Arabidopsis thaliana: one gene and its partner. The protein of the gene in region 1 interacts with the protein of each later gene in a pairwise test. Each region holds a gene or a part of one and is shown on either strand. Other genes may lie near its edges.

Region 1 (3,754 bases):
TCATGTACTCCAAAAGAGCCTTTGTCCATTGGTATGTAGGAGAGGGTATGGAAGAAGGAGAGTTCTCTGAGGCTCGTGAGGATCTTGCTGCCCTCGAGAAAGATTATGAGGAAGTTGGTGGAGAAGGAGCGGAGGACGACGACGAAGAAGGCGATGAGTATTAGAAAGACACAAGAGTGTGTGTTCCCTTGTTTCTTTCTTGTGAAGTACAGTAATTATGTCTTTGTGAATGTGATCTCTACAGTTATTTTGTGATGTTTACGGGTCTCTCCCCTTTTATTTCTCATTTGTGTTTACTAAAGGATTGCATTTCTAGTGCATCTCAATACATAGTTTGAAGGATTTTTGGCATTTCAAATACCGTTTACGCTCTAATAAAGATCCTTGTAAGAAAATGTACATAGTAAGTTAGTAACTAATCCATGTCCATACGGAACACACCGCAATGGATGTTGAGAGAAGATGATGATCTTACCAGTTTAAATTTATCATCTTCAAAGATAAGAAATTTCCATCCAGGGAATAGTAAAATGTGCAAAGGAAAAGCAGAACCGATAACATAAACCAAAGGATGCAGTACAAACAAAGTTCCAGATCATAAAAGAAAACCAAGATTTCCTAAATGTGAAGACCTGTCTTTCACAATCTTCGACCTTATTTCTTGTCAGTACCATTCTCAAGCTCCTTCCTTAACTGACGTGAGAAGTCGTCATTGACATCATCATCATCCCAGTCATCTTCCCACTGCTGGCTAACTTCCTTCACTTCTTCTTTCTCCAACCAATCTGCCCAACATAAAAAGATCCATCAGTATTTACTTTGACCGTAAAAGGACAGCAAAAACATCCATTCCACATCCAACTACACAACTCATACAAACAGAAACCCTCTTTATCAATTCTTTCAATAAAACTATTAGTAAAATCACAAAGCAAAATCTGTTAAACCTTTAGGCTACTCAATGCCCTCAAATAATTCCCAAATCCTCAATAACCTTTAGGCTTTAGTAAATGAAGCGTTGACTATTAAGACTAAACCTAATCATCAATAAGTTGCTGAAAAAAACTGCTCTTTTATCCATTTAGTAAGTATGAGACTATAGCTTCATTGTTAGAACTATATGAAAAAAGATCTATCAACCTATCTCACACCTGAAATTGACATCAAACAGATTCGTTTTCATATCAGACCTACTCAACTCATACACTAGTCCATCTTTATCAATCCTTTCAATACAACTACTAGTTAAATCTGAAGAATCAACTAACTTGCAAATCAAAATCTATTAAAATCAGAATCTGATACAATTCATACAAATAATTCTCAATTCAACCATATAAAGCATTGCCTGTATCTATCAATCAGTTGCTAATGAAAATCGCTCTTATATCTATGGCATCGTAGCTTCATCGTTAAGACTATAAAACCGATGATGAATCGATTCAAAAATCGAAGAAGAAACAAGTAATAACAACAAAAATTTTACCTTCGTTAATTTCAAATTCCTCGAACTCATCGTCGTCCTCAAACAGATCCATCTTTACTACTTCAGCAGTCGCTGCCTTCGGTTCTGCCGCCATAGTTACAGATTGTTAAAGGAACCAACCAGATCGAGATAACCTAAGAAGAAGAAGAGGAAGACGAAAACTCGATAAAATTTTCCAAGTTATTATTGCAAAAGCATGGAATTGATAATGATGAAACCCTAACCTCTCTGAGAGCTTTAACGAGAGAGTAAGCGAACTTTTGTTTTTCTTAAGAGAAGAAGCAAATAATAAAGGGAAGGTTTTTTCTTTTTGTATAGAACCGGTTCGACCGTGTTTTCCTTTTTGTGAATTTGTAAAATTTGATGGTTTTCTATTTATTTTTTAATTGCTAAAAGAAATTGTAACATTAATGAATTTGTAAAATAAAACTGTAGTGTAAAACTGTATTAAAATATCGATAGAACAAGTATCTGGATATTCCGATTTATCTAGGATTCAACTTCTAAGAACATGGACAAAAGAATCATTGTAATATATATATCTGTAAGAAAACAATTAGGCTCACAAAACCTCACTAAGTTCAACAAATTCAATCTAACCTCAAAACATCATCCCTGATAACAGAAACCAAACGATCAACACAACCAAAGAATAAGACGAACAAGAAAAAGAAGAGGCTGAGGAAGCCACAATCTGAATAGGGAAATTGCATTGTCCTTGAGATATATTCTGCGTTGTAATGGTGGCCAAACCTTGAAAATAGCAAGCACTCTCATCTTGATTCTTCACTTGAAAGAACATGTTAAACGCATACGACGCGTTTCCATTTGCATCAAGAGTATTGCAAGAAGATCCGTATCCAAGCGCCGTGCAATCAGAGAAAGTGCAGGCGTAATCTATATTAGCCGCGAGTTTTGTCAAGTCCTTGGCTTCTGGATTAAACGTACACCACTTGTTGGGTAGATACGGCACGTTTTGTGCACCAATCAAGAACTTACTCTGTCCTTGACCTGAAAGATCTATAGGAAACTTTGGTTGCCCGTCGAATTTAAATATTCCCCAATGGCGTTCGAACGGTCCCGGTGCTATACTTTTTGCATCCTCGTCGAGTAATCCGAACAAGTATACCTCAATGTAGGTTGGTCTCAATGGAGTTCCTTTGTTTGTTCCAAGCCTCGGTAAAAGCCCGTTGTAGAATCTGTAAGCACTGCCTGTGAAAAAACCGTTTTCAAAATCAAAACTAAAACACTTCATAAAGGATAAAAATCCATCTAAAGAAGGTCAGATATCAACCTGCATTAGCGTGTTTGTCACCCTCTGTTGGCCAACCAACTTCTCCAACGATTATTGGCATATCTCCGTGACCAACAGCTTTCAAAGACGACACCAAAGTATCGAAATTGGCATCGAAAACGTTTGTATAATCAATACCGTTGTCGTTTATCGGTTCAGCACCATCGAAGAAGGCGTAGTTGAGTGGGAAATCATCATTCCCATAGAGACTTAAGAAAGGGTAGATGTTAATTGTGATGGGAGCATTGTTCTTGCCAAGAAAGTCAACAATCTGAGTCATTTGACCGATGATATCGGGACGGAATCTTCCTGCAGATGGAACGGGATTGCTTGCTGGTGAATCGTATACATCCGCGTTTAAAGGGACTGTTGCTTTGACAGAGTTTCCTAGTCCGGCTTCATTTAAAGCGTTTTGAATGTTCGCAAGTGCAGGGAATGTGAGGTTTATGAACGATCCATTGTATGATTTGAGGAATGGCTCATTCCCAACAGCTACAAACCTGAAACACATCCACAAGTGATTAGCTTCACTGAGACATGTAAACACATTTTTCTCTAAACATGTTCTGCATTTTGACAGTACTGTTAAAAGATTTGACTTTTATAGATATAAATACATTTTAGTGGAAACAGGTTCTGCATTTGACAGTAGTGTTAAAAGATATTTGATTTCATAATCAGACAACACAGATTTCACCAGACATTGAAAATCAACCCTAAACATCCAATCTTCAGAAACAAACATATATAGCTAGACACATTTTGTCTATAGACATAACTCACTCATGGTTATGCATTTGGCAATGTCATAAACTAAACAACCATGGGTTTATGAGGTTTCGACAAACAAACACAAAGAATGTTAATTTTGACGTTTAGACAAACACTACAACCAATCAATAACAATAACATTGAGACAGAACAGAGAGGAAGAGAGACAAACTCACGTGATATTGACACCACCATCGAAGTTA
Region 2 (3,754 bases), 4.5 Mb from region 1:
CTTTTGAGCAACATCCTGTAGAGAGATTCTGGAGTAGGAAATGCTGATGTTGCGCAGTCCTGTTCTGATCACGTTGTGTCGGAGTCTGACTATGAGGTTGTGAGTCCTGTCTTCCGCAAATGTTTTGGCAAACTTCTCTTGGATTTTCCCGAACAGCTCCAAGTCACCAATTCTCACAGCCTTACAAAATTTAAACAAGAGTATTAGCAAGAAAACCTTAATTAAAGCATATGTTAGAAATGTAAAAAAGATTGAACTCACGTTGGTCAGCTCAAAATATGGCCTAAGAGTCTTCTCCATTCCTTTCTGAGTGAAGATAGATCGTTCAGGTATTTCACCCAACAACAGCCGAACTATGATAGCCCACTTGTTGCACTGGATTCTGAATCCCAGAGATGCAACAGGTGCTTTCCTAGCAGCTTGGAGGAGACTCTCTTTTGCATCGGTGTACTCAAGTTGAATCGTCCTGATCTTGCCAAGGTAAAACAAGTACCTACAAAACTGTAAATTTATATAACGAGATGAGTATCGTTTCTAGTTGAAACATGTGAATGTAGTTTGGAGAAATTCACAGTGAAAAGTTGGCATTAGTAAGCATCAGAGAGGTTGGCATAAGTAAGCATCACAATTAACTTAGAATTAGAAACTAGAATGTATGAAAGGGTTACCTGTTGGTTAGAGTGTGCCTCAAATCGAGGCGCTTTTGATCTCAACTTCTCTGCTTGGTCGTACAGGTTGTAGTGTAGATAATTGCGAAGCAACAGATTCAAAAGTGTTTCCTGGCCCAATTCGTCGTGGCGCAGTGTGGCCGAATGGTGAAGAGCAAGAAGAGTACTGCAACAGAAAGAGAGACAAGTTAATAAGATAATTGAGTGTTGAACTAATATGATAAAAGTTGAAAGATGACTGTGAACTTGTACTCACCTACGTATCTCTGCAAGATCATTAGTTAGCTCGTAACTTAAGGAGTAGTAAAAATACAATTTGGAAGCAATGACATCAACGGTTCTCCTGTTTACGCTTTTGAGGCGAGCAATGCTAGCGGTAGAACAAACTTTGGCCTGAAAGCAAAGAAAGTAAAACAATGAAGACCACAGCAAGATTTATAAATAAAGTATGTCAGTTAGAGAGATAGAGAAGAAGTAAACCTCGTTGTACTTTTTCTGATCAATGAGAAAAAGAAGAACAATGAAGTAGCAGTAAATCTCGAGCTCTGCAGGTAGATGCTTAGGAGGAGCTTGGGAATTCGATGATGCTGTATCAACTTCCATGTCATGTTCATCACTCTGTACCAATATTATAAATTCCATCAAATTAAGGGCAAACACTAATACATGAATCTAATTACAGATCCTAGATAAGCTCGTAATCAAAGTGGACAAGTGAAGCTACACATACCTTCGGCACAAAAGAAGAGAGACGAGTGTGAGCTTCAGATCCAGGAACCAAAGCGAAATCAAGGAAAGAAGAGATCACGGAACCCGTGAGCTTCCTTCGTAGTCCAACGGTGAGACGCACAGCACGAGCAATACGACGGACTTCCTTTGTATAAGATCCAGTATCAATCAGAGCTGCAATCTCCTTCAAATCTGGAGAAAAAAAAAAGCAGTACAACGAATTCAATTTTGAAACAAACCTAGCAATGTGAGATTAAGAGAAACTGAAGCATAAGATAGAGATTTACTCTGTAGCGTGGAGGTAGGAGCAGAGACGACGGATTGCGTTGGGGTTTGGTTATCTTTCATCTCTACGTCCTGAGTCATCTTTTTCGCAAATCTCAAGTCGTCTTCTTCTTGACGAAGGTAAATTAAAAATTGATTTGAAAAGAGCAGGGCTTAACGCACACATAAGTACTCTTATGTTTTCCTTTTTCTTTTCCTAGACAGAAATTACCAAATTATATTTGGGAAAAATGTTGTTTTATACGCGAACTTTCAAAAAGTAGCTATTCTATACGTGAACTCTGACGTCGGCCAAAATAAACATGAAAAATACGTTGACCAGCCATTTTAACAGAAACAAAATGTTGACCTCGCCAAAATCCCGAGACGTTAACTCGCTGATTAACCCCGTTAAGAGAACGTTAATGAATTCTGTTAAGACCAAAACGCCGTCGTTTCAAACCTAACGAAACAAATCAAAATGCCCAAATCGAAAACTCAATCCCTAATTCTCTCAAACCAAATCCCTAATTCTCTCATTGGTAAAATCGTGTTTGTTCTTCGATTAATCTTGTTGTGATTGCCTTAGCAATAGAAGGCGAAGTCGACATTGCTCCTGTTCCACCACGACGAGTAGCTGAAACCGGAGATGGAGTTTGATGGTGGAGTTCTAGCTTTGCCGGCTGTTGTTGTAGCAGAGTCTTCTGTCGGAGTTGAAGCTCAAAGAAGATAGATTGAGAGAAGTTGGATATAAGAAATCGATTTGGGGAAGATGAAGACTTAGGGTTTGAGTTTTCGATTTGGGGATTTTGTTTTGTTTCGTTTAGAACAAAACGACACCGTTTCGGCTTTAACAGAGTTTATTAACGTGCTGTTAACGGGGTTAATTGGGTCTGTTAATGCGAGTTAACGTCTCGGGATTTTGGCCAGGTCAACGTTTTGTTTCTGTTAAAATGGCTGGTCAACGTATTTTTCATATTTATTTTGGCCGACGTCAGAGTTCACGTATAAAATGGCCACTTTTTGAAAGTTCGTATATAAAACAACATTTTTCCCAATTATATTTTTCCATTTTATTTTTTTCTTTCCCTTGAAGGCAGATATTATCTTGTTTGTTAATACTATTAATGTCATTAATTAGAACATCAAAGTCGTTGTAGTATAGTGGTAAGTATTCCCGCCTGTCACGCGGGTGACCCGGGTTCGATCCCCGGCAACGGCGCTAACATTTTTTTATCGAGTAAATCTATTGTTAATACGGTGTCGACGAGTCTATGAGCTTCCTTTCCTTTGTTGTGTCTGTCTCATTAGAATTTTGAAGATCAACCCAAATTCGAGAATCGATGGTTTCTGGCTTTCTACTTCCATTTTTTTTCTCTCTCTGTGTAAATCTGCTTCCATTTGTGAGTTATTTTCGTTATAATGTTATATAAGAATTCAACTTTGCAAGGGTACTTGTTGGAAATAAAAGAATCAACTGTTCCATCACATTAAAACTGATAACCAAAGAAAAGAGGTAATTTGTCCAAACTGTGTCTCACTCTCACCTAAACAAAACTACAAAACAGAGGAAAAAAGAAAAGAAAAGAGGATGCCTCAGTAGTTCTTCTCTAACAAAAACCCAAGACGACGACCAACCATAAAATAAATTGAACATATATTCCTAAGCGACTCTAAACAAAACAGACCACAAGCTAAAACACTGTCAATCAATGGATAGTAAAAAAAAAAGAAGGGGAATGAGATACACTTATGGCAAACATGTCTTCTTGATGGACAGAAGAAGCAAACATAGAAAGAAAGTGAGAGAACAAGGAGATAGAAAAAAAACATCCAACGACTTGGGCTTTTTTCTTCTTTTTATGTTTGTGTAAGAGAAACCTCACTCTCAAGCAGCTGCCTGGACTGGTGGTCCATCTGATCTGTTGTTGAAACCACCATCACCACCACGTCCTCCTCCTCTTCCACGTCCTCCCCTTCCACGTCCACGTCCACGCCCTGCATCAAACCAATTCAAAACTCATGGCTTCTTCACACAATTACAGTTCAAGAACCAGGTAAAAGAATACAGAATGTTTTAATTTATTTTACCA

Evidence for each region. Proteins that work in one complex are often made in the same cells at the same time.
Region 2: the proteins of DSS1(I) (region 1) and AT1G75990 interact in a two-hybrid assay, tested with the Arabidopsis thaliana proteins (one study listed by BioGRID).

Annotation. Positions count from the first base shown.
Region 1 is NC_003070.9:24,052,133-24,055,886, forward strand, and holds DSS1(I) (deletion of SUV3 suppressor 1(I)), read right to left. Parts: upstream 1,777-3,754; 5' UTR 1,711-1,776; exon of another isoform or gene 1,621-1,710; 5' UTR 1,581-1,620; coding exon 1,487-1,580; intron 1,264-1,486; coding exon 1,141-1,263; intron 786-1,140; coding exon 655-785; 3' UTR 230-654; downstream 1-229. Other genes in the region: TUA1 (alpha-1 tubulin), read left to right, coding at 1-164; AT1G64760 (O-Glycosyl hydrolases family 17 protein), read right to left, coding at 2,088-2,698, 2,781-3,280, 3,728-3,754. UniProt on the Arabidopsis thaliana protein: Subunit of the 26S proteasome which plays a role in ubiquitin-dependent proteolysis.
Region 2 is NC_003070.9:28,524,956-28,528,709, forward strand, and holds the start of AT1G75990 (PAM domain (PCI/PINT associated module) protein), read right to left. Parts: upstream 1,894-3,754; 5' UTR 1,764-1,893; coding exon 1,685-1,763; intron 1,590-1,684; coding exon 1,399-1,589; intron 1,287-1,398; coding exon 1,149-1,286; intron 1,062-1,148; coding exon 925-1,061; intron 835-924; coding exon 669-834; intron 502-668; coding exon 262-501; intron 181-261; coding exon 1-180. Other genes in the region: AT1G76010 (Alba DNA/RNA-binding protein), read right to left, coding at 3,550-3,659, 3,753-3,754. UniProt on the Arabidopsis thaliana protein: Acts as a regulatory subunit of the 26 proteasome which is involved in the ATP-dependent degradation of ubiquitinated proteins.